Kluyveromyces lactis: one gene and its partner. Each later gene encodes a partner of the first gene's protein in a complex. Links are inferred from orthologs where the notes say so. Each region holds a gene or a part of one and is shown on either strand. Other genes may lie near its edges.

Region 1 (4,410 bases):
GACGCACTTTCGGTTGTGCAACATTGTCATAAATTACAGTTTTCCTTTGTTGATCAGACAATGGCAAGCTCCTGTAAATATTTTCAGCAGCCATTAGAGCAAGTTCTGGAGTGAAATTGGGTTTCTGAAAAAGTATTTTTTTGGCATATCCTTCAATGATTTCACGTTTATTAGCCGGTTTCGTATTTCTCTGTGTGGGAGTTTGAGTTGTAACCTTTTCTTTTTCACCTAGTGGTGGTGCACTCTGGGGAGTGGACTGCTTAGACCTAATTCTTGAATCCTTTGAGTTAGGATTATTTGCCATAGGCAAATTCGGACTTGATGCTGTAGTGAGAGGAAGCTTTCCTTGCTGCAATTGAGCCATCTGCATCCTTTGTTTGGCAGCACGTTTTATTTGCATATCCCTTCTCAAGGCCTCATCACGCTGAGCTTTTAAGTCTGACATTTCTTGAGGGGTTGGAACACTCATATTCTTAACATCAAAAGGTTTACGCGGCTGCGAAGGATTTGGTCTGGGTGCGTTTTCTCTTTTTTTAATGCACTTTCTCATTGCCTCAAACATACTTGCCCAGCGTAAACGCCTATGTCCTCGTTGTATGGATTCCGATCCCACACCAAGGGGAGATATTCTCCTTTTTTGCTGCTGCTGTAATTTATGAGCTTCGTACAACCATATTTGTGCATTATGAGCCTTTGGACCCTTCATATCTGCAATGTTGAACTTTTCGTTTAGTTGAACGAACCGCTCAAAGCATTGCCAAGGGGTTCTACGTTCGATGTTTGAAACATATTCTCTTTTGTGATGATTGGACATCTGAGAACTAATGAGGTCCCAGTTATAGGCATACTGGTTTATATTTTTGACAAGCTCCTGATCATCTTCAGGTAACCAGATGGTGGGTGTACGAAATTTCAAATAGCGTAATGATGGCGCATTAGGAGGGCGAAGATAATGGCTACGTCTATTTCCATAAAACATACCACGTCGTTTTGATAAAGGAACTAGAGATGGTTCTTCGTCAACAAATTGCTTTTCTACTAATTTCATGAAATGGTCCTCGTCAAGAGGAGAAATTGCCTTTGAAACCGGTTCAAAGGGCAATGGTCTGCTAGAATCGAGATTCTTTTCGTCCAAAAGACCATACAAAGGGAGTGAGTTTGAAATGGCTGCTCCCAGTGTTGATAATTCCTTTATATCAATGTAATTCCTGAAGGGAGAGGATGATTTCTTAGCTAAATAAACTTCCATGGAGGTAACCGGAAGAGATGGAGCGACGATTTCATCTTTGGGGTTAACTCTCTTTAGTAACTTTTGTATGTCTATGGTAGGCTCTTCAGATGAGTTTTTATCAGTTTCCTTGTCCCCCTCTTTGATACCATTTTCAGACTTCTCTTCCACCGCTTCACTCCCATCAGTTAAACCGGTACTTGATTTTACACCATCCTCTGACATCTCCACATCTTCAGCAATTTTAGAAGACCCATCATCGTTGGATTGATCAGGACTTGTGTTTGATTCTTTATCTTTTTGTTCTGGCTCAACTGTACTGATTTTTGTTCCCATATCTTGGGAGGAAGCAATATCTTCTATGTCCTTTGATGGCGGTGGAATACTTTTACAATTGATACAGCATACTTTACCATAAGTCCAAAATTCCATAACTGCCTGTGCCATTTGAGTGCACATGGCTATCTTATAATTCAACGATTCACGGAAGTCTTCACGCATCCATTTTGCTTCTTCAATCAACACATTATGATGAGTTACAGGTTGTGAAGCGGTAACGGGATCGATAAATTTTCTTGGTTGTCTAAGTGACCAGAGATTCAGCCTTCTCAATTCCTCTATCCTTGATGCTACTACAGTGATTCGTCTTTCATTCAATGCAGTATTAATCAGATCAGTCGTCAATGCTTTTTGAGATTGTGGTATCAATCTCAGCAAGGGCAAAGTCTGGGATAAGTATTTGATTTCTTGAATGGGCATACCCTTTGCCAACTTGGTTGGCGCGTTCTCTTTCGTAATCATGTATACCGCCTCTTTCACATTTATGTCATCTTCGAAAAACGTCTTACGCTCTTCCTTTGATACATTGTTGATAATAGATTCTATAATATAGGGTTGAGGTTCTTTCACCCCAATTGGTGTTGGGTCAGCATGCAATTGTGAGATGTCTATCATCTGAGAATAAGGATGAGGCGGAATTTCCATTGTTGCAGCGTTACGTGCAGCGGTAGAATTAGATAGGTTTCCACTATCAAGCCGTTGCCTTTTACTTATTTGATTTTCGGAAATATCTTGTTGTTCCTCATCTAACAAACGCTTTCCAGAAGTACTTGGCTTTGATTGGGTCTCCGGATATTGGACAGATTTCGGTTCCATATGTGCCTGAACTACCACAGGAGGAACATTATTATGTGTTATCGGCAGCTTCTGTGTGGGAGACACCGATCGCTGCTTTTGCAGTTGTTGCTGCTGCAGCTGTCGAGATGACTGCGCTTGCACCATAGATTGCCTTGAACTTTGCTGAATTGACTGCTGTGACTGAACTCGTGGAACTACCCTTGTTTGAGACTGCGGGAGTGTCTGCGTATCCACATCATGTTCCTCGCTTCCACTTGGCGACACGTCTTTCGACCGCTGTTTCTTCAATTCTCGTTTCACTTCTGACGGTGAAGAACTCTTACTCCTGTTATTCAGCTTCCTATCTGACGACACGTCTCTCGGCCTAAACTTAGGCAATGCATTAATATCTATAGGCTTGTCCTTGATCAAGGTATGTTGATCTAAAAACTTTTCTATCTCCTTCCCTATTCTCTCATGATTCTCCACGTTTTTTAACTCGGTAATTTGTGAGATACAGTACAATTGTACTAGCAAGTGCCGTCTCTCCTCTAAGAGCTGCTCTGGGCTCTTACTTCCAGTAGCATTCCCTTTGCTTGCACTGCTCATCGCCTTGAAATCCTTACTTTCTATTAGATGTTCTGTGAATATCTGTCACGTTGAAAAAATATAACTTTCGGTCTGAATGGCAAGTGATAGGAAAATATCCAAAAAAAAAAAAAGGAAACTGGGTCCTCTGATTTTTCTTTTAGCGAGGGCTTGTCTCGGAAACAGCACGCTTCTGTACAAACAACAGGATCGTCCAACCAAACAAGGCTTTTCTGTGTCAGGTACTTTTGAAACTGAGTCGAATAGTGTTCTCACGGTCCTGTTCTGTTACCGTATTACGGCTTGTTTTCTCGATTTCTACTATATAAGTACGTATTTCATGTTGTTCAGCAATTTTTTTGTTCCTTGAAAGATTTTTTTTTCTTTTGGGAGGCCGAAATCATGTAAGGAGGGTAACTAAAGATCAGGTCACGTGCGTTAATTGTTGGGTTCCCAGAACGGGATTAATCCACATACCATCATCACCTTCCTCAATGTAACTACTGAACATTTACATCACTCACCAGGTCTTGATGGCCGCATCTAGATCTTCGATGGATTTAATTAGTCCAGCATGGTCCAAAACCATGTACGATGTAATAAGACCCTTTCTCGCCTCGGAATCCACATGGACTTTGGCTAGCTTTTCAAGGAAACGATCTTCTTCATGGAAATAGTCTACTTCGTTTGTTTGTCTTACCTTCTTGCGGACAGCTTGGTTCGATGTTAGATCGTCTTCGTCCATATCAAAATTCACTTCGTACTTCCTTGAAACGATTAGGTAGAAATCATAGTTTTTATCATCCCCAAGCGCAAGCTTCACATCTTCTAATGTGATAGTGTACAATGGCGGCACAACTTCTGGTGGCATATTAATCAATCTTTCACTCAAGACTAACGAACAAGTCTTCTCCGATTGATCTATAGTTTGTAGGAAAGTAGCTAGCTTGGGGTCAACTTTACGAAGATATTTGGCATAATCACTATCTTTGTTGGCCTTGTAATCGATAAATGATAGGAAACAGTATGGGTCAGACTCCTTACCATCGGTTTTGATGGTAGTAGTTGGTGAGTCCAAGATTAAATTTGCCAATTCACTTAGTTGAATTCTGTTCGATTCCTGTGGTCCAAACAACTGACGCATCAGATTCTTCAAAGCATGGAAATCAACGTCGGGATTACCATTGAAGAAATCAAAATCGATGTTGATGATTTCTTGTTCCTCTTGACCGTTTTCTTGGTCTGAAATATTTGAGTCTGTACTTGATATGTCAAGATCAGATTCCTCATCGACTGCACGTTTCTTGGATAATGCACTTAATTTAACAACCTGGACCATTGCAGACTAAAATAGAGTGTTGTTGCTGGTTTAATAAAGCCCAACTAATAACTATTGTTTATCTCTTTGAAACTTCCTCGAATCTATTCTAAAGTAGTGATGAGCTCGCCAAATGCAGGTTTGCATCAAATTTAAAGAA
Region 2 (2,848 bases), on another chromosome or scaffold:
ACCGTCCGACTTAAGGGTTCTCCGTCCTCATCGTACTCATCTATATCTTCCAAAACTTCGTCTAAATCGTCGTAAACAGACGGTTCTCTAACACTGCTTCCAAAATCCTCATCCAAAGTGTGATAACTACCTTGCTCATCTGGATGCAACCCTCGCCTCAACCCACGATGTCTGCGTTTCCTTAAATACTTCCGTAATAACGGATTCTTCTTGTCTCTGCTCACTAAATCGAACCCTAGCGAAATGCGTCTATGGTTAGTTGCAATACCAATACCATTTGTTCGAAGCTTCGGATGAACCTGAGACAACGTCTTTCCAAATAGTGTAGCCATGTTGCCTATTGGTGCGCTTTCAGAGACCACTATTTCGATAGCTTTCGCCTGTTTTTCTGCATCTCTTCACAAAGAGCACAAGATGTCAAAGTCGAATATAGAATAAGAATCGAATAAATGCTAATTATAATAATACATTACATGATAGAATTGAAAATATTTACATATGAGGATATATATATATATATACGAGCGGCAGGAGTGAAGAAATGTGAAGACCATGAATGGGTCATACCAACCTTCGTTGATCATTGCTTCTTCTTCTTCTTATTTAGTTTCTGATTAGCAATTTCCAGTCGACATTCTGGACAATACCACTGACCCTTTGGAGGTTCCGTTAAGTTGACACAACTGTAATGGAACCATTCGTATTTACAGTTTGGACCATCGCACGCCACCATCTCACCGTATGATACTCTTTGGCAGAAACAGTACAACTGCTTGTCGTCTTCTTCGCCGCCTTGGTTCATCTTGAACAAATCATCGTTATATGCCAAAGCATCGAAAGTCGGATCTCTACCGATACCAGCGTTAGGACTCACGTCACGAGACACTGTTCCTGCACGCTGATGAGACCTAGATCTCTCTTTCTTCTGCTGTTTTCTCTTCTGTCCTTTCCCGTTCGCTGATGATGAAGAGGCTGGCCGTTTCCTACCAGAACTGGAACCTGATCCAGCCGTTCCGTTACCAAGGCCAGCGATTCCAGCTCCTAAATCAACAGATCCAGCCTTCTTATCCGAAAGCTCATCATCCAAGGGTGCAAGTAACCCATCTTCCTCAAGTGACTCGATGTTGGCCTTGATCTTGCTCAAATGTTTCGTTACTAGATACAATGCTGTATTGGCTAATATGCATTTCTGTTGTTGCAAATCGCCGCATCGCTTCATCTCTTTTTCTACCGTCTCAGTAATGGATCCCTCTTTAGGGTCCTTGGTCAACGAACCATGCTGTTTCACAAGTTTATGAAGCACGTAATCCTCCCGTAGGTACTGCTCTCTTGAGCTCACCAGGGTTTTATCTGCTACCTGCATTTCATCCATGATATGATGGAACTCTGATTTCAAGTTCGCAACATCCTGTGTAGCTTGCTCCAACGCACTCGAAGGGTCCTGTGGTCGTTCGTTAATGCTACTCATTCTTCCATACAGCCTTCCAAAATGCTAACTGCGCCTGCCTAGCGTTCTTTGTACAGCTTCTTCTCTTACATACGTATCTTTGCTATTTCAATGGAAAATTGTTTGCCAGATTGCTTTAAAGCTTTCCCTGGCTTTAAAGGCTTTGAAATAGAAAAAGTCATGATAAAGGGACATGGTTTGGTACTTCACAAACATGTTTCCATTAGTTTTTGGGAGTATTTATTATTCAGAAAAGCTAGTCCTGGCATATGAGCTTATTTGAACTCTGTTAAAGACCGAATTTACCACGATTATAGGCGACGACAGTTTCTTTTGTTAACTTTACCTTGAATCTAAACCATGGTGTTCTATTCATTTATTCTACGCAAGATTTCCAACAAGATATTTGGCGACATTAAGATTGGTGAGGGTGAGGATCCGTACTATGAGGAAGTTACTTTTGTGAAGAAGTCGTTTTGGACTGGAAATAGCCAAGTTGTGCATAAGAAGCTAAAGAAAGCAATTCCAGATTATGTCCCATTAAATGACAGAACAGTGTTGCAACGGGTTAGGAAAAGAGCTTACAGGCTTGATATGATGTTTAAGATATTTGGGATGAGAGTTGGATGGCTCGGTATCATTGGACTTTTGCCAGTGGTCGGTGACCTAATATGTTTGTACTTGTCATGGACAGTGTTCCATGAAGCACAGAAGATTCAAGGTGGTTTGCCTGTGCCCTTGCAGGCAGAGCTCTTGGGGAACATCTGTATCGATTTCCTATTAGGGTTGATTCCCATTGTTGGTGATATCGTTGGGATTGCTTATAAGGCAAATTCCAGGAACACACTTGCATTGGAACAATACTTGAGAAAGAAATACGGTGGTGAAACCATTGCCGCATCTCCTGTAGAATTAGGTTCTGTCTCCCCAGGAAGGGACCCAGACTTGGTAAAAGGCTTGAAACAGACATAAGCGAGAAGCCGTTTGTGCTAATGTACAATTATTATCCTGTTAAGAAAAGTTATATATATATATACATACTCATACCGCTATGTATAATGCTAAATCCCAGTTTTATATTATCCTAGAACACACCCGGTAGCTTCTCAATCACATAGGAGTGTCCTCCAACACTCATCAATGGGATCCCCGGCACTTTCCTCACTCTCTGCTTTAAACCAGCATCGTTCGTGGCAACAATGTAACACTTGTGCTGCAACACTCTATGAACAATACAGTCATCCGCATAAGTACCCTTATGCGAACAACTTAGCCTCTTGATTCGCGGATCACGAGCTAGCTTCAACGCTATACGATACTTGGGACCCAACTTCTCTAATTCAGCCATCACACAGTCTGTTATCAATATGTTACACTTGGCCAAAAGACAATCCATCATAC

The links.
Region 2: EAF1 (region 1) and YNG2 share a complex: the UniProt entries of both Saccharomyces cerevisiae proteins name them as parts of the nuA4 histone acetyltransferase complex. The link is inferred for Kluyveromyces lactis from reciprocal best matches to the Saccharomyces cerevisiae genes EAF1 and YNG2.

What each region holds. Positions count from the first base shown.
Region 1 is NC_006041.1:1,912,792-1,917,201, reverse strand, and holds the start of EAF1 (Eaf1p), read right to left. Parts: upstream 2,954-4,410; coding exon 1-2,953. Other genes in the region: protein-transporting protein BCP1, read right to left, coding at 3,453-4,271. UniProt on the Saccharomyces cerevisiae protein: Component of the NuA4 histone acetyltransferase complex which is involved in transcriptional activation of selected genes principally by acetylation of nucleosomal histone H4 and H2A. The NuA4 complex is also involved in DNA repair.
Region 2 is NC_006037.1:629,992-632,839, forward strand, and holds YNG2 (histone acetyltransferase YNG2), read right to left. Parts: upstream 1,469-2,848; coding exon 581-1,468; downstream 1-580. Other genes in the region: KLLA0_A06952g (uncharacterized protein), read right to left, coding at 1-332; KLLA0_A06996g (DUF4112 domain-containing protein), read left to right, coding at 1,808-2,419; rRNA-processing protein FCF1, read right to left, coding at 2,532-2,848. UniProt on the Saccharomyces cerevisiae protein: Component of the NuA4 histone acetyltransferase complex which is involved in transcriptional activation of selected genes principally by acetylation of nucleosomal histone H4 and H2A. The NuA4 complex is also involved in DNA repair.